Linked DNA regions of Mus musculus. The protein of the gene in region 1 binds, or shares a complex with, the protein of each later gene. Links are inferred from orthologs where the notes say so. Each region holds a gene or a part of one and is shown on either strand. Other genes may lie near its edges. The genes, in order: Nmt1, Ncs1, Aifm3 and Hpca.

Region 1 (4,240 bases):
CCTTGTCTTTGGGCAATCTTCTCAGGATTATGATTAGACTAGCTAGTTACAGGACAAAGCCCAGAGGGACAGAAGCATTTAGGCAATTCTAAGATAGATGCTGCATTTACCTGGCTATAACTGATTCGTCCTTGGAAGTTGCCTGGATCCAACAGTGTGACTGGTGTGACGGTGAAGCCTTACAGAGGGCACAGAGTAGGTAGATACAGATTTATAGACAGATTTTGCCGCCTACAAACAATGTACCAACTTTTCTGGAACAGTCTTTTCATCTGTGAAAAAGGAATAATAATGGCATAACACATTCTAAGCTTGTTAAAATTATAGGAATTCAGGTACAAAAAGTCTTACGCCAGAGCCTGGCGTGTAAGTGCTCATTAAAGTCTTGTGTTGGGAGTAGGGGAGCTCGTGAGGCCTCAACCCCAGACTAAGAACTACAGGCAATTAAGGAAGGCTAAAAATGGGGGAGGAAATAGTTCTTCCCAGGCACACCAGCCCTGAAATCATTTGCATACAACATTATGCTTACTGAACGGGCTATATTTATATATTTAGGAAAACACACACACACCCATATGTAACAACAACTAAAGAAAAAGAGGCCATGAATTTGAGAGCAAGGTGGGGTGTATATGGGAGGGGTTAGAGGAAGGAAAGGGGAAGTGGGGAAATGGTGTAATTATCATAATCTTAAAAAAAAAGACTTGTTATGGAAGGCTCTAGAGGAGAATCAAAGGGAAATGTGAAGAAGAGCGCAGTGCAAAATTAGAAGCCAAGAAATGGTAAGCCTCCCCTGCAAGCAATCAAGTCTTTGGCTCGGGGGCAGTGTTCCACACACCTCAATGCACTGCCTCTCGGTTTTAGATTTCCAAAGACCCAGGTCTCCCTAAAGGCTGGAGTAGGGAAGGCAGCCGAGAGCAAACCTATAGGAAAGTCCTCTGTAAGGGCATTTGAGCTCCTGGAGAATCGCAGCCATGAACCTCAGTGTCTTTCACTTACCCAGGAATGGTAACGGTCCTTAACGTTAGCCGATAACGGCTCATCTGTGGCCTGTTGATTACCAAGGGCGGCCTGAAAACCTTGGACTTTGCAAGCCCTTTACTTGCGAAACTCTAATTCAACATGGAACTGCAACTCCCAGCGTGCCCCGCGACCACCCTATAAGGCGTACAGCGCCCTTCGTCTCAGAGGGCGGCCGAACCTAGGGGCTTCCGGAATTGCTGCCCGCTCCTCCCAAGGCAGCGTCCCTTCATGATTTCTGGGTTTTGTAGTCCACATCGGTACAGTTTTTTGAAAACAAGCCACCCTTAGTGGCAGATTTCTTCACACAAACTACAAAACCCAGAATACAGCGCGTACTTCCTCTGTCCAATAGGAGCCCTCCATGTAGCGGGGCGCGGAGTCCGGCTCTCGCAACCCAAGATGGCGGATGAGAGTGAGACAGCAGTGAAGCTGCCGGCACCTTCGTTGCCACTGATGATGGAAGGGAATGGAAACGGCCATGAGCACTGCAGCGATTGCGAGAACGAGGAGGACAACAGCCACAACAGGAGGTAACGAGATCATCGTAGCCCAATTCCTGTCCGGTCTCCCACAAGCTGGGTATCTGGGGTGCGGGGAAGTCACCGGGAGCTTAGTCTAACCCCACCCCCATGTTCTTATTGGCTAAGCCATTGAGATCCTACCTAGCGATTGGTTTTTGTCTTTGTCACTTACCAGGATGGGTGCTCAGATATTAAGGGTCGGAGACATGCAATACTTTTATTATATAAAAGTTCTGTTTAGTGTACCACTCCCTTGCTTTAGGCACGATGGGGGAAAAGAACATTTTGAACGGTAGATTTCAGTAGTACAATGCAGAGCAATCTAGAAGCTGCGGTTCAGAAGGAACGTTACTTATAAAGGTGTATGAGAAACGTGACTAGCCATAAACTAATAATAAAACATTTCGTTGTAGTTCACGCTCAATGAGGAAATTCACTAGGCTATACAAGCCATGCATATAATTATGTTGTAAAATATAACTGCCAGACAAGTCCGAAATATAAACTCACTATGATCCTATGTTATTAGTGATGTGATGTTTTGATTTATTCAGTGTCTGTTGCCTCAAATAATCGGTGAAGAGTCAATTTCATTGTACCTTCACTTTGTTAATTTAGTGAAGGGCCTCAAAGCTTCAATAAACTGATGTTGCTTCTTGGAGAACATGTGGTATTTGTGGGGTACTACTGCACGTCTTGTACTTTAGGGTCTCCCTGGGGTTTTTTGTTCGTTATGTTTTGCCTTTTTAGACAGGTTCTACTGTGTAGCTATGGCTGGCCTGGGGCATACAATGTAGAACAGATTGACTCCAAACTTGGGGTGATGTTCTTGTCTCTCGGGTATGGGGATTAGTACTGTTACAGGTCACTGTGTAGGTCAGGGTCTTACTATAAGTAATTTCAGTCTTTTGTTAGTAGAGAAGAAGAAATGGGCCAGATATTTGAGAATTTGTATTTGTCTTTGTTTTTCCAATCAGTACATCAGTAAGCCAGTCACGAAAAATGATGTATTTAAGTTCATATTATTTTCCTGCTGCTCTAACGCCCCCACCCAATATGTATGTATGTATGTATGTATGTATACATATGTATATTTTTGTGTAGAGACTTGTGGGTGTGTGATTGAGTGGTTGTTTGTTGTTGTTGTTGTTTTTTGTTTTTGTTTTGTTTTGTTTTGTTTTTTGAGACAGGGTTTCTCTGTGTAGCCCTGGCTGTCTTGTAGACCAGGCTGGCTTCGAACTCAGAGATCCACCTGACTCTGCCTCCCAAGTGCTGAGATTAAAGGCGTGTGCCACCACTGCCTGGTGGTAGTTTGGTTTTTATAGCCAGATTTTGTTATAGCCAACTTGCCATTAGCTGTAGCCGGCAGCTCTTAGCTTCCCCCTAGCCCCAGTTAAAGTTGAGATGAAGATAGAAGTTTGTAACCTTTGGCTACACTCTATTTATTCCTCTGTCTTAAAGATGGCTGAGCAAAGGATTAAATGATCAGTAATCTGACTGTGGTGAGTTTTAGGCTTAAAAAAAAAAATCCAGCCTCTTGTTCTCTCACCAGCATGGGGGGGAACAAAAATCACAAGAATGTGGCAGAGAAGAAAGCTTGCCAGCCTTGATTTCACGACTGTTCTGTGGTTGTAATTCACAGCAGATCCAGTGTAACAGCCTCCTTTAAGACAGCTATTCCCAAGAATGGAAGAGCTGAGAAGGAGGAAGTAGGCACTGGAGGAACACAGGACAGGCCTCTTGAGGGAGAAATCTTTCAGATGAGAGGGCTGAGTGTGAAAGTCCCTTCAGAAGTGGAAGTCCAACTTTTTCTTTGTTCATTCTATAATTGCTCTAATTTTCTCTGTGAAAATGTTGCCCCAACCGATGTCAGTATTTTTATTTTATTTTTTTTTAATAGGTTTGTATGCTGAAAAAAACCACAGTTTACAAAACTTTGCCAAGACTTGAGATCTAGTTTGGCCATAGAGCACGTTCTCACCATATTGCAGGCCCTGGTGTTCAGTCACAAGCATGAAAACCAAGAAAATCCTGTTTGCCAGGAAGTTCTTTGTTTTAGTTGTGGTGCCACAGAGTGATAGCTCCCTTTTCCCAAAATCTTTAGGGGTGACCTCCCCCCACCCCGGGGGGGGGTGTTTTATTACAGGATATGGTTTGAGTAAGCAAATTATATTAGTATGCCAAATCGAGGGGTCCGTGAAAATGAAGTAGTTTGCAGGTGGCACGTGACAAATGAAGGACCTAGTCAGGAGCTCCTTCTGATGCATAGAACCAGCATTTTCCGTTAACTATCAAAGCAGAGTAAGTGTTTTTGGAAGGAGACAGCATCACCCTTGGGAAAGTATGAACTTTGGAGTCATTGATACCTACTTTGAGCAGGGTGTGGTGGTGCAATACACCACCACCACCACCCACTCCCCCCAACCCCACCCCACGGTTTCTCTGTGTTACCCAGGCTGCCCTGGAACTTACTCTGTAGATCAGGCTGGCCTCACCAAGATCCACCTGCGGCTGCCTCTCAGGTGCTGGAATTATAGGTGTGTTCTACCTATAATTGCACCAGTTGGTACAATCCGTTGATCCCAGTGCTCCAGAGGCAAAGACAAGTGGATTTCTGAGAGTTCAGGACTAGCCTGGTCTATGTAGCAGACCAGCCAGGACTACATAGTGAGAGTCCATCTACAAAGACAAAATGA
Region 2 (4,270 bases), on another chromosome or scaffold:
CCCAGAACCAAGAACCAAAATCAATATATGACTCTCACTCTTGTTCTGTGTGTTGGTTTGTGTGTAGATGTATTCTACCCTTTCGATTGCAGCTGAAGGCCAGAGGTCAATGCTGGATGTTACAGCTTTCCACCTTCCTTTGCTTTTAAAGGTTTGTTTTATTTTTAATTATGTGCAAGGAGCTTGGAGCAGTTGTGTGTGTGAATACAGAACCCATAGAGACCAGAGACTGTGGCTCACATTGAGCTGGAGTTACAGGCAGTTGTGAGCCACACATGTGGGGGCTGGCAATTGAACTCTGGTCTTTAAGGAAGAGCAGTGCTCATTCCTAACCGCTAAGCCATCTCTCCAGCTCCTCCGCCTTATTCTTTGGGCTGGTGTCTCTCAATGAACCCAGAGCTGGCCATTTCACTGGACTGGCTGGCCAGTGAGCTCCCAGAATCCCTCTATGTCTGCCTTCCCCGTGCTGGAGTTATAAGCATGAACCACAGTATCCAGCTTACATAGGTGTGTGCTGGGGACCTGACTCGGGTCCTCATGCTTGCACAAAGCATCTCTCCGGCCTCATAATTCACACTGTCAAGAACTCAACTCCAGAGCTCAGCCCAGACCTAAGAGAAGAGCAAGCCAAGCAGCAGGGATAGGAGATGGTGACATTTGGGAATCCTTCCTGGATGATGCGTCCCTTAACTCCCTACTCAGTATTTCCCTGGAAGAGAGGGGAGAGAGAGAGAGAAAGAGAGAGAGAGAGCGCAGCTGTGGACCAACCACATAGACTTGCCTGGAGGGAGCTGGTGTTCACAGGGAGATAAGAGAGAAGCAAGTGAGTCCCCCAGCCCTAAGTGAGGCCTTGGATGAGGGGGAAGTGCCCAGACTGCCTCAATCCCTGAACAAAACTGCTCCACATCACAAAAGCCCTTTAAAAATAGCTCAGCGGAACTTCACCAGGCCAGTGCCTGACAAGAGTTCTGCTGGCCCCATTCTTCCCAAGTTAATGGCCAGCCCTTCAGAGATGGGGCTGAACGAAAGGTCTTTCAAATCCAGCACTGGGCCAGGGTAGGAAAGAGAGGCACAGAGGGCTCTTGGCATAAGCCAGGGATGCCAGCTCACATCTCCCAGCCTTGCCTTCCTCTCTATGAGCAGCTGGAGTGCCCAGAACAGGACAAGCTGTTGATGTACAGCTGTGCTAAGGACACAGCCGATGGTGCATGACACACTCAGTAAGCAGGACCCTGACTTCACAGGGCTCATTGGTGGCCCCCAGCCTCACCATCATGGAGACAGCATGGTACACCACATGCCATGGTTCCTGGAGAAGTCCATGGAGCCCTCTACCCTCCCCACACCCTGGGGTCCTGGCCCGTTCAGGGAGGGAGGGTGTCCCACCAATAGCCTACCTGCTAATGGCTGTGAGCCACACCTTCGAGGGTCCAGTTAACCTCACAAACAGCAACAAGCTAGAAAAAGCTACCCACCCAATCTGGAAAGAGAGAGTAGGCAGCCTGGGCTGGGAAGGATAGTTCTCCTGGATGTGACCTCCAAGGTGTCCAACTCCTCAGGACAGGGGCCAGGAGAGCCCAGGCAGTAAAGCCCCCTTTGTTCTAAGTCTGGGAGAGTGAGGAGCATGGGGCTAAGGCACTAGGTTGACCAAGACCTGCAAACGTGCTCAGAAGACCGATACCGGGGGTGGGGGTGGGGGTGAGAGCAGAGACCATGCACTGCACCAGAGCCTCCATCTACACCGAGCTGTCAGTTAACTGCCTGTCTTTCCGGGTGATGCAGAGCGCTCAGCCAAAGCTTCCCAGGACCCACTTCCAGGGCCACCCCTGGAGAGGCTGCGAGGAGGGGGGACACCTGGTGTGGAGGCACTAAAGATGCAGAGGCAGATCTGTGAAGTTGGGCAAGTGGAGAGCCACGCCTGGGACTGATCTAGTGGACCGTGGAGTGGGACAGACCTTCCTTCGCTCGTCAGCTCGGGCCATGTAAACCCATTTCCTGGTGCGGTAGAGACAGGAGAAGGGAAGGGGGGATGGAGAATACAGCCCAACCGTGCGACATCTAAGAGGGCGCCCAGGACCCTTGGCCCTCTACCGTCACTACCTGAGCGTTCTACCAGTCTCGCCAGCCCTCTTCCTCCCAACACAGTCACACTTGCCAGGGAGGGGGCGACAGGCCAACCTCGCAAGAGGCAGGAGCCGCAGCAGCATCATTAAGCATGAATCACCCACCCACCCTGCTCCAAGCAGGAGAGCCACACAACGCCCGGGCGCCCCCTCCTGGGACCACTGCCCCCCGCCCCGGCACAGCCCGGGTCCTTCGGACAGGAGGGGAGCAGCGGGTGGGCTGCGGATGCCCTGAGGACCCAGAGTGGTCCCTGGAGCACGCTGACAGGCGACACCCAGCCATGGCCGGGGGCGGGGGCGCGGATAGAACAATGGGCCAGGTGCGGGGCAGGGGCGCGGCCGGGAAGGGCGGAGGGAAGGTCGCGGCTCGATGGGGAATCGGGGATCTGGGATCGGGGCTCACTCACAGTAGGTTTTTCTGGTCAGCTCCTCCACAACTTCAGGCTTCAACTTGCTGTTGGATTTCCCCATGCTCGGCGGCCGCGGCCCCCGCTCCCCGGGCCGGACCCGCTCGGGGCGCCCAGCGGGAGCGGTTGGGTCGGGCCGGGGTGCGCGGAGGCCGGCAGGCCGGGCTGGGCCGGGCCGGGGCCGCGCCTTTGTCTGGCCGTGCCCGCGCGTCCCGTGCGCGGGGCTCCGGCGTGCTGCGCGACCGCGGCTGACGGTTCAAGGGGCCTCGGGGACCCGGCGAGGGCCAGGCCTTGGCGGTGCAAGCGGCCACGGCGAGGAGTTGCGCGGGGCTGAGAGCCGCAGCCGCCGGGGCTCGGTTGCCGCGGTCGTCCCTGGTTACTGGGCTGCGTAGCACATGCTCGCTACTGCTGCGCCGCCGCCGCCCCTACGCTCCCCGCCTCCCGCCCGCACCGGCGCGCCAGGGGTGGACTCGGAGCCGCCACTCATCGCCCGGCGCCACCTCCCGCCCAGCTCCGACAGGCGCGAGCTCCGCGTTGAGGCACCCCCTCTCCTGTTGGCTCTCCGGGGACGCTGGGAGGTCGCCGCACCGCCCCCTCCGCCGATCCATTCCCCCCTCTCCGCAGCGGCGTGGGCAGGGAGGGCCCGGAAAATCGGACGTGAACGAGGCCAAATCCCTGCCCGGCGCAATTCATTCATTCCACTTAGATGTGTTGGGCGCTGGGGACCTGGCGGCCAAGAGGACAGACGCGATCCCAGACCTCTCCAGGAGCATCCTGATGTGCTGGCTGGCATGGGTTTCGGTGGGAACACTTTTGCCTGGCCTTGAGGGAAGTGACTTCAGATTGAGAGAGGAATGGGGTATCAACCTGGAAGGGGTCTGGCCTGGGAGGGAGAGCAGCCTCTACACCCGGGGCTCCAGGCAAGGCTGGGAATGATCTGAGGCCAGGCAGAAGGGCCAGAGCTTCTGGAGACCAGCCTGGCAAGCCGCTTTCCCCAAAGACCTGGCCTCTGTCCCCGGTGCCCAGGAGTACTTGCAGTTCAAACCTTCTCTGTTGTGGGGCTTGCTTGAAGTGGCCAGAGGGAGCAGAGCCTGTTGGTGGGGCTCCATGCCTGGAAGCCTGCAGCTGGGGAAGGACTCCAGGAAAAGGATGGCCTGCTCTCCCCTCCTCCCAAAATGTCATCGTAATTGAGACCTCTCCTGACTTTCTGCCCAACTCTGTCTCCTTAACAGCTCAGGAAAACTTGGACCTCTTAGTCCATTGGCGCTTGCTTCTTCCAAAGAATGAGCCTCAGGGGGAGGGGAGCAGAAATATGTCTTGCTCTCAGAAGGCCCTGAGGGCCAGTGGCAACTTCTGTGAGCCAGTCTTAGTAGCAGAGGCCAGGGAGCCAGCCCAGCTAAACAGGGAAGTGGGTGGGGAGGCAGTAGGATCCCTGGTTCACAACTGGCTTAGACAACATTAGGAGGAAGAGTTCTCAGGGAAAGGCATGAAAATAGATCGGGTAGGGGAGGAATGACCCATGCCAGGAACCAGAGCCCTGGAAAGACCATGGCAAGATGAAGCCATTCCCTCCTGAGCCAGCAGGGATGCAATCACGGACAGAATTTCTTTTTTTCCCTCTCAGAGGGTGTAAAACCCTGCCTGGGGCGATGGTACCTTTCAACCCCACCTCTTGCATGTCTCCAGCCTTCAGATGGTCTCGGTTCCTTCCCTTACATGAGCCCAGGCCAGACCCAGGTC
Region 3 (4,222 bases), on another chromosome or scaffold:
CCCCTGGCCACACCGCCAAGACGTTAAAGAACCCAAGTTTGAATGTTGTCTCTGGGCAGTAAGAATAGCCAGACACTTTGAGACCAGCCCAGAGCAGAACAGTAAGTTCCTGGAGAAAGAGAAAGAGAGCTGTTGAATGTTCTCTCTGCCACAAAGCCGTCTGCAGCCAGGCCTTCACCATGACAGAATGTGACCCTCAAATTGTAAGCCAAAATAAACTTATCATCCCTTAAAACACAAAGTTTTTAAAACATAAAATGGGTATGCTAGCTCAGGTCTGTAATCCCAGCACATGGGAGGCTCACAGTACAATCAAGACCAGCCTGGTCTAAGTAGTGAATTCTAGGTCATTCAGGGCTACATAGTAAACTCTGTCTTTTAATGAAAGGAAAGGAAGGGGTGAGGACAGCTCAGAGGTCAAGGGTATTTGTTGCTTTTGCAGAGAACCCAGCTTGATTCCCAGCACCCACACCATGGCTCACAATTAACCATGTGTAACTCCAGGCTCAGGAGGTCAGATGAATTCTTCTGGCCTCTACAGGCATTGCACACATGCTATGCATTTATATACACGAAGACAAAAATGCTCATTTTATAAAATAAAAATAAACAAACAAAAAACAAAACAGAACCAGTGCTGGAGCACATACTGTTCTTCTAGAGAAGCTGAGTTTGAGTTCCAGCAGCCAGGTGGCTCAGAACAGCCATTACCCTAGTCCAAGGGCACCTGTTTCTCCTGACCTCTGCATGCACCTCCATTCACTCACACACTCAAACACGCACACATACACACACACACACACACACACACACGCACACACACACACACGCACCCACACACGCACGCACGCACACACACACACACACACACACACACACACACACGCATGCACGCACACACACACACACGCGAGCACACACACGCACACACACACAAAATTTAAATGATAAAAATAAAAATTTAAAAAACAGGGCTGGAGAGATACCTCAGTGGTTAAGAGCACTGACTGCTCTTCCAGAGGTCCTGAGTTCAAATCCCAGCAACCTCGTGGTGCTCACAACTATCTGTAATGGGATCTGATGCCCTCTTCTGAGGAGAGCAAAATGTACTCACATACATAAAATACATAAAATAAATAAGTCTTTAAAAATTTTTTTAAAAAAACCAAACATCATAACTGGAAGAATGTTTGCCTGGCATTCCCAAAGCTTTGGGTTCTATCTCCAGTACTAAGTAAAAGTGATCATAATTGTACACTCCTGCAGTTCTAGCACCAGTGAGGGGGATAGGAGGCTGCTAAGTTAAGATCATTTTCAACCCCATAGTGAGTCTGGGGCCAGCCTGGGCTAGATGAAATCTTATCTTAAAAAAAAAAATTACAAAAGCAAACTGACAAGATTCAGGTCAGGGGATAATGGCTAGCTCCAGATCTGAAGTGCTGAGTCAGGGGTCCCTGATTAGGCCAGCTCATTGAGACTGAGTGGCATCTTGTCCCCACCATGTCCTGCCAGCCAAGCAGTCCCTCAGGTGCCCAGTATGGGACTCCCATGGGATCTTGCAGGCACATTCCTGCCCACTCTATGAAGAAACTGAGACAAAGACAGTGGGCACCTATGGCAGAGGCTGTAGGATCTGGCACAGACTCAGGCGAGGATGGACAATCTTCACCAATACTGCCAGTGGGTGGGTCACAGCTCCGCTTTCTCCCCCAAGTCCTACCTCAGACCCAAGAAAGGAAGAAAAGTCTTATGAGTCCCAAGGTAACCGAGCTGATGGGTATCAGGTAAGGAGAGCTGAGCAAGCTGGCAGAGTGAGCCAGCCAGGGCAAGTTGGGTGGGTGGAGCACTCACTGGGCTCTGAAGTCCTCAGTTTCTGCATCCCTGTCATGGCTACAGGTTCTGCTTTCTGGATGTTACGACTAGGGTAGAAGGAATGTGCAGACTGAGGGAGAAACCCAAAGACATGAGTCCCCTGGCAGGGTAGATCCTAAGTACTGTAGTACCTTGGAATGATCCTACCCCTGGCTGGAGTTTCTAGGGCTAGGCAAGATTTCCTATATACATGGAGAAAACAGAAGAGTGGTACATGCCTTTGATCCTAGCACTTGCAAGGCACAGGCAGGAGGATCTGTGTGAGTATGAGACCAGCCTGGTCTACATAGTGAGATCTTGTCTCAAAAGACAAAAACCCAAACAAAAACACAAAACAGGAGATGAGGCCCAGAGAAGCCAAGATGATGTCTGATATGTCACAGGATGATAAGAGTAGGGACCTGTCCATGATACCCTGTCAGTCACCCTAAGAGGGCAGTGTCCAGTTCTATTTTATAGAGAGGGAAATTGAGACTCAAAGAGGTTACACTGTGGCTAAGAACATCCCCCAAAGCCTCTCTTCTCCAGAATGGAGAAGTAGCCCTTAGCTCTGCGCAGCATAAGAGGAACCTTCTAGACTCAACTTTCTAAGAAGGATCAGCTGTTGTCCCCACCACTAACACCCAAAGTCCCAAATAAAAAGGGGGATGCTACAGGAGAGGAGTCCAGGAGAGCTTTCCTAGGTTTTTACCCTTCTTGCCTGCAGTGCATTAGCATTCTGGGCTCCTGCCTAGCCTGACCTACTTTGGAGGTTGGTGAAGTACAGAGGGAGGGGGAGGCTGTCAGAGAAGGGGAGGTACCTGGCTTGGGCTTGGAGAAGCAGCCGCCCATGGTGAACGGTGGCCTGGGATCTGGCCTGGCTGGTGGGAGCACGATGGCAGGCTGTCCAGCTGTCCAAGGTCTAGGATGTGCCCTGCAGGACTGGACCCCCTGTGGCCCTCAGAGACGCTAGAGCTGCCATGCCAGCTAGACAGCTTTAGGACCTGCAGGGGAGATGGGAAATTGGGTCCTAGCACTGATGCAGGTCTGGGTAGAGTCAGAGGCATCTTTGAGGAATCCTGGAAGAGTCTTACATGAGGAGGGCAGATCTTGTTTGTAGGGCATCTGTCTCCCTTTGAGGCTTCTAGGCATAGGAACCTCAGATTCCCCTTACTGCATCCTTTGTTGGAGACCCTCTGTGCTCTAATATCTGCTACTGCCCATAAACCTGCGACTACATAGACCTAGCCCTAGATTCCCCTTTTCTAAATCCCACAAGTCTGGAGACTCTGAGACTCTCCATTTCCCTAGATAAGACCACCACGTCTACAGAAAACCCTGACAACCAGAGTCCCCAGAATCCTTCTTCTTCCACTGAGAGTGACAAGGGTCCCAGCCCAGCCTTGGCCACTGCCCTGACTAGCAACCTCTAGTCACCTACCTCTTTCCATGGGAGTCACTGCTCCTTGCTCCCAGCCCAGCAATGGAGAGAGACTACTGGGCCTTGGTCAGCAGGGCACGGAAGGCCAGTGTCCTGGAGGGTCCAGCCCGCCTTCTAGCATGAGTTGTGGCCAGGAGGGGGCTGTGGGTGTGGGGCTAGGCCAAGCCACTGGTCCCCAGGGAAACCCAGCTCTGTGGGGAAAAAAGCGGGCAGCCAGCCCAGGACTGATGGGGTTGGGGGAAGAGGGAAACCAAGCGCACAGCTCTGCCTCTGCCCCATGCCCAGCAGCCCAGCAGCCATAAGTTTCCCCACCCCTCAGGCGGCTGTGCAGTGCTGAAGAAGATAGAAAGACTGGGGTCCAAGGTCTCACCAAGGTCAAGCAGCAGTTAGGGGCATCTGTGTGGTCTTCCCCACTCCTCACCCTAATAAATCCTAAGATAAGCAAGGCCTTGGGACGTGCTCAGGTCACTCTAAGGCTCCAAACGGGAGAGCAAGACTACCTGGTAAACAGATCACTGTGGCCATTGTGTCCTTGTGGCCATAGGTGGGCCTTCTAGAAGATGTGGACTTTGGAAGGCTCAAGACAAAGGTGTAACTACCCTGTTTACAACTGATCTGTCCAAATTCTACCCAACAGTCGGCTCTGGGTCACCTGGAAATTCTTCCTGAAGCCTGCACTGAACCGTGCTGGGAGTCACTAGGTTAGCCCAGTCCCCATGTCAAGAAGGAAATACAGAATGGGAAAGGACCAGCCACTGCTAGCTTCTGACCTTCGAAGCAAATTACAGGTGAGGAACCCAAGGCCCTTGTCGGGGCAAGAGGAGACAACTCAAGGGATAAAACTCAGTTGCTAACTGCCCCTCTAGCTCCCTTCCTGGGAACCAGAGAACCCTTTCAGAGGTCCTGGTTTCACCCATGTCTCAGCGTTGC
Region 4 (4,082 bases), on another chromosome or scaffold:
ACAGGATGCTCCGGTGAGCTGCTGCACAGGAAGGAGTCAGACCCTCTATTTAAGACAACAAAGACTTCCGGTCTCACCTGAACTGCAATCTGAAGTGTTCATCGCTCTACCACTGCTCCAGTCTGTCTCCAGATTGCTTACCTAACACACTCCAGAACTGATTACGCATGCTACGTTCTTCTGCACGTGTGTTATATATATCATTGTTTCTTCTACATGATTGCAATCCCCTGTCTGAAACCATGCCAAGTGCAGAAGCAATGCCTGGAAAATCTTTTTGAAATGGATGAACGGCAGCTCCTGATTTCAAATCACTCGCTAGCTGCCAGACATTGGAAGTATACAACCCTTCTAACTCTCAGTGTCTGCAATGTAGAACACAAAAAGATCCACATCCTAGAGACGAGACGGGGGGGGGGGTGGGGGGGATGGGGGGGGGACGGAGTGGGGGGAGGACAGCATTTAGCTCAGGATGTAGCGATTGTTACCAGAGCTGGAGGAGGGAGAGTCCCTTACAGGCAGGAGGAGTTGTGACCCCATCAGCGCCTCTAAGAGCAGCTGTCCTTAGTACAGACGGGAGGCATACCCACCTGAGCACCCCCACCTCCCAAGGTGGAGATGCTTCCGTTCTCGCAGGTCACGGCCTGCACTCACAGAGGCTAGGAGAGGAGAGGAGAGGGTTCCTTGCCTGGAGGAGTACTGGGAAGAGCTAGGTAAGTGGATGGTGAGAGGTGGGATTAATTCTTAGAGGGGTTGGGGGATGACATCCGGAGTAGTAGGCAGGAGAGGGGGGCGGGCTCTCTGAGGCGGAGGTAGCAGGGGGCGTGTCTGGCCCCTGGAAGACCTTGGGACTGAGCAATGGGTGCTCCCTCCTCCCTAGAGAGCCCCCAGTTCATCTGGCTCGGGAGTTGAGGTGCGGGGGCAGCGAGGGTGCCTATCGGATTCCTCCCTCAGAGCGACAGGCGGCCCTGCGCCCAGGTAGGGGTGGATTGTTCCCGGCTTGGGAGAGCAGTCCCTGGACACTGACCCGCCTCTTTCCTTGCCCCTCCGTGTCGACTTGTAGAGCTGGGGGGTCCCGATCTTTCTCCCAGGGTGGGGTGCTCCCTAGAGAGGGGGCCGGGGCAGCGAGGGCGTTCTGTTCTCTCTCCCGGGAGGGGGCGGGGGCGGAGCCTAGCTACCAGTGGGGGACCCCCCCAGGGGAGGGGCTCCGGGCCAACGCTGCGGGGCGTCTCCCTCGCAGTCCCGCCCGCCCCTCCGGCCGCCTCTGCCGCCGCGCGCCGCAGCAGCGCCGCCTTCTCTGCGCAGTCGGTGTCTCGGCGTTGCTGGGTGAGTGGGGGCCGCTCTGGCCGGGGTCGGGGATGAGGGGAGGGAAGCCCGGGAGCCAGGAACCCAAGTCCAGGGCTCCCCAGCCCGCTCCTCCCTGAGCTTCGTGGGATTCCTCCCACCCGCGGCGCTGCAAGCCCGGGGCTGCCCCTGGGGAAATCGCGCGTCGCTCTCCAGGGTCCTGACCGCCAAGTGGCCGGCTCCTGGGAGTCGCGCGTCGACCGTCCCGGGCGCCCCCTCCAGGAGGGACCTCGAACCCAGTGCGGGAAGAATGGAGGCGGGGGATCAGGGCTGGAGCCGGAGGAGGCTTGGAGGGGATGCTAGGGCGGGTTTCTCAGATAGAGCTGTGAGGTTCCTTCTATTTTGGGCACTGGGGGTCTTTGAGGAGAAAACAGGCATTTCTTCCAGCTGGGAAAGGAAATGCTGAGGGTGGCCGAGAGGAAGGGGCACCTGGAGGAGCGCTTCTGCTCAGCGCATCACTCTGCCCCCGCCCCGCTGACCCAGTTCCTTGGACCTTGAGGAGGGGAGTAAGGGACACACTCCCTTGCTCAGCCCTGCACATTTCCTCAGTCCCTTCCCACATACTTGTTCTGTGGCTTCTCAGCCTGGGGCAGAAGAGGCTAATCCAGAAAGGAGGGGGCACCAACTTACAGGAACATGCATGACACACACTACTGAGGACAGATACAGGTCTCCTCACATTCCTGGGGAACATTTCTCTCTGTGGCAGGTGCATACCAGCTCAACACGCATATTGAATTCACATGCAGCCATGCATAGAAACGCACAGGGAGATAGATGCGGTTCAGAGCCCAGGACCCACATCATGGGTGAGCATACGCATTCAACATGCACCCACACACATGTGCACACACGTGTGCATAGAGCTTCATGTACCTTCATGCACAAGGAACCCTTTTCACCCTGTCTTGCTCGTATATCCAACCTCAGGGGACACTTGCACACACCCCTACACCTATGATTATGACTGCCTGTCTACTTCCCCTCCATTGCTTCTGCTCAGCTTCACACTTTAATTCCTGCCCTGAGGGGACCTTTTGAAACCGGAGAAAAGGTGAGTGATGAAGGAGGTCTGGGTGGGCTGGGTAGGGCTCCCCAAGAAAAAGAGTCCTCATCAGGTCTGGGAAGGGCTGCAGCTCCCTCTCCTGGGACCTGACAGCACCTCGGGGATAGAAAGACAAATGACAAGGGTGCCTGAAGGTCCCACGTGCAGCTGGCCATGTGAGAGGTGTCGGCATTCGAGTTGGCGTGTAATGGCATGTGTGAGACATGTGGGGTCGTGGGCTGGTGTGTCTTGATGCACCGTGTATGGGAGTTTGTGCGTGGTGCCATGTGTCAGTGCGTGTGAGTTGTGGGGCAGTGGGATTGCTGTGTGTGGAGGCATGGCTATCCATGTGTGGTGGAGGCAAGTATGTGAGTGTCGGAGAACCTAGGGACCTAGGCACTTGGTGATCTGTGTGGCTTTATGTGTGCTGGGGACAGGCATTTGTGGAGTCTGAATACAACATGTATGTAGCACCTGCCCACTCATGCATGATTCTAAGGGCTCACAGGTATTAACTAGCTTAATTCCCAAGATAACCCTATGAAGTAAGTACTATTATTAAACCCACTTTGTGATTGAGTTGGAGAGTTTAAGGAAATTGTCATCCCTTCTCGGCCTTTTGGCTAAGATCAAGTATAGGAAATTGTCCAAGGCACATAGCTGGTAAGAGGGGAAGCTGGATCTCCATGAGTTCGAGGCCAACCTGGTTCTATAGCGTGAATTCCAGGACAGCCAGGACTACAGAGAGAAACCCTGTCTTGAAAAACAAAAACAAACAACAACGTATTTTAAAAAAAGAAGGAGCGCCGGGATCCCAGCCCAGGTGATCTGGCTCTAGGGTCCAGGTTAATACTTCTTGCTAAGCATATCTTCAGGAAGAAAATCGGACAGTGTTGGGGCAGTAGGTGCACTGTGGGGTCAACAGACATCTGGGAAGCCATGAAGGGGGCAGCAGGTGAAAAGGGGGACTCGGGAACTTTTCTGCACCCTCCTAGGACACTCCGGGAATCAGCATTGCCGGTAGTGTCCGTGTGACTGAAGCAGATCATTTTGATTTTCTGAGCCTCCCTTCTCATGTAGAAAATGGAGCTAACCCTCAGATTTCCCTCTGGGAGGGTGAAAACGTGTGCTTGTGAATGGGCTTGACACGGAGAGCCAGAAGGGTGCCAGTGAGTGTGAGCTGGTCCCTTCCTTCTTTGGGTCTGTTCTCCAGACATGCATGTCACAGAGCAGAGTGCAGGCTGTGTGATCTGGGGCCCATCTCTCTCTTTTCTTGGGTCAAATGAGACTTTGGGCTATCTTGTGTCTGAGGGCCCTTCTGGAGACGTGTCAAGGGACTAAGAGGATGTAACCATTGCTCTCTGTCCTTTCACTTCCTTTGGGGGCGGGGACCCAGGTGGGACTTGGCTCTTCTGCCATGGGCAAGCAGAACAGCAAGCTGCGGCCAGAGATGCTGCAGGACCTGCGAGAGAACACGGAGTTCTCTGAGCTGGAGCTACAGGAGTGGTACAAGGGCTTCCTGAAGGACTGCCCCACTGGCATCCTCAACGTGGATGAGTTCAAGAAGATCTACGCCAACTTCTTCCCCTATGGCGACGCCTCCAAGTTTGCCGAGCACGTCTTCCGCACCTTTGACACCAACAGCGACGGCACCATCGACTTCCGGGAGTTCATCATTGCTCTGAGCGTGACC

The links.
Region 2: the proteins of Nmt1 (region 1) and Ncs1 are in contact, whole or in part, in a crystal structure (PDB 5O9S), measured with the Homo sapiens proteins. The link is inferred for Mus musculus from reciprocal best matches to the Homo sapiens genes NMT1 and NCS1. Residues at the interface, in NP_066565.1 of Homo sapiens: Tyr180, Val181, Glu182, Asp183, Asp184, Asp185, Met187, Phe188, Arg189, Phe190, Tyr192, Asn246, Thr282, Ala283, Gly284, Arg295, Tyr296, His298, Ser300, Lys310, Phe311, Ser312, Tyr401, Leu403, Ser405, Tyr420, Gly468, Ile469, Gly470, Asp471; in NP_055101.2 of Homo sapiens: Gly2, Lys3, Ser4, Asn5, Ser6, Lys7, Leu8, Lys9.
Region 3: the proteins of Nmt1 (region 1) and Aifm3 are in contact, whole or in part, in a crystal structure (PDB 6SJZ), measured with the Homo sapiens proteins. The link is inferred for Mus musculus from reciprocal best matches to the Homo sapiens genes NMT1 and AIFM3. Residues at the interface, in NP_066565.1 of Homo sapiens: Tyr180, Val181, Glu182, Asp183, Asp184, Asp185, Phe188, Arg189, Phe190, Asn246, Thr282, Ala283, Gly284, Tyr296, His298, Phe311, Tyr401, Ser405, Ile469, Gly470, Asp471, Asn473, Leu474, Leu495, Gln496; in NP_001373743.1 of Homo sapiens: Gly2, Cys4, Phe5, Ser6, Lys7, Pro8.
Region 4: the proteins of Nmt1 (region 1) and Hpca are in contact, whole or in part, in a crystal structure (PDB 7OWM), measured with the Homo sapiens proteins. The link is inferred for Mus musculus from reciprocal best matches to the Homo sapiens genes NMT1 and HPCA. Residues at the interface, in NP_066565.1 of Homo sapiens: Tyr180, Val181, Glu182, Asp183, Asp184, Asp185, Met187, Phe188, Arg189, Phe190, Tyr192, Ile245, Asn246, Phe247, Thr282, Ala283, Gly284, Tyr296, His298, Ser300, Lys310, Phe311, Ser312, His313, Tyr401, Leu403, Ser405, Tyr420, Gly468, Ile469; in NP_002134.2 of Homo sapiens: Gly2, Lys3, Gln4, Asn5, Ser6, Lys7, Leu8, Arg9.

The regions. Positions count from the first base shown.
Region 1 is NC_000077.6:103,027,150-103,031,389, forward strand, and holds the start of Nmt1 (glycylpeptide N-tetradecanoyltransferase 1), read left to right. Parts: upstream 1-1,393; 5' UTR 1,394-1,422; coding exon 1,423-1,553; intron 1,554-4,240.
Region 2 is NC_000068.7:31,244,503-31,248,772, reverse strand, and holds the start of Ncs1 (neuronal calcium sensor 1), read right to left. Parts: upstream 2,851-4,270; 5' UTR 2,595-2,850; coding exon 2,531-2,594; intron 1-2,530. UniProt on the Homo sapiens protein: Neuronal calcium sensor, regulator of G protein-coupled receptor phosphorylation in a calcium dependent manner. Directly regulates GRK1 (RHOK), but not GRK2 to GRK5. Can substitute for calmodulin. Stimulates PI4KB kinase activity.
Region 3 is NC_000082.6:17,490,554-17,494,775, reverse strand, and holds the start of Aifm3 (apoptosis-inducing factor 3), read right to left. Parts: upstream 2,856-4,222; 5' UTR 2,704-2,855; coding exon 2,673-2,703; intron 1-2,672. UniProt on the Homo sapiens protein: Induces apoptosis through a caspase dependent pathway. Reduces mitochondrial membrane potential.
Region 4 is NC_000070.6:129,118,466-129,122,547, reverse strand, and holds the start of Hpca (neuron-specific calcium-binding protein hippocalcin), read left to right. Parts: upstream 1-1,244; 5' UTR 1,245-1,326; intron 1,327-2,347; exon of another isoform or gene 2,348-2,398; intron 2,399-3,785; 5' UTR 3,786-3,806; coding exon 3,807-4,082. UniProt on the Homo sapiens protein: Calcium-binding protein that may play a role in the regulation of voltage-dependent calcium channels. May also play a role in cyclic-nucleotide-mediated signaling through the regulation of adenylate and guanylate cyclases.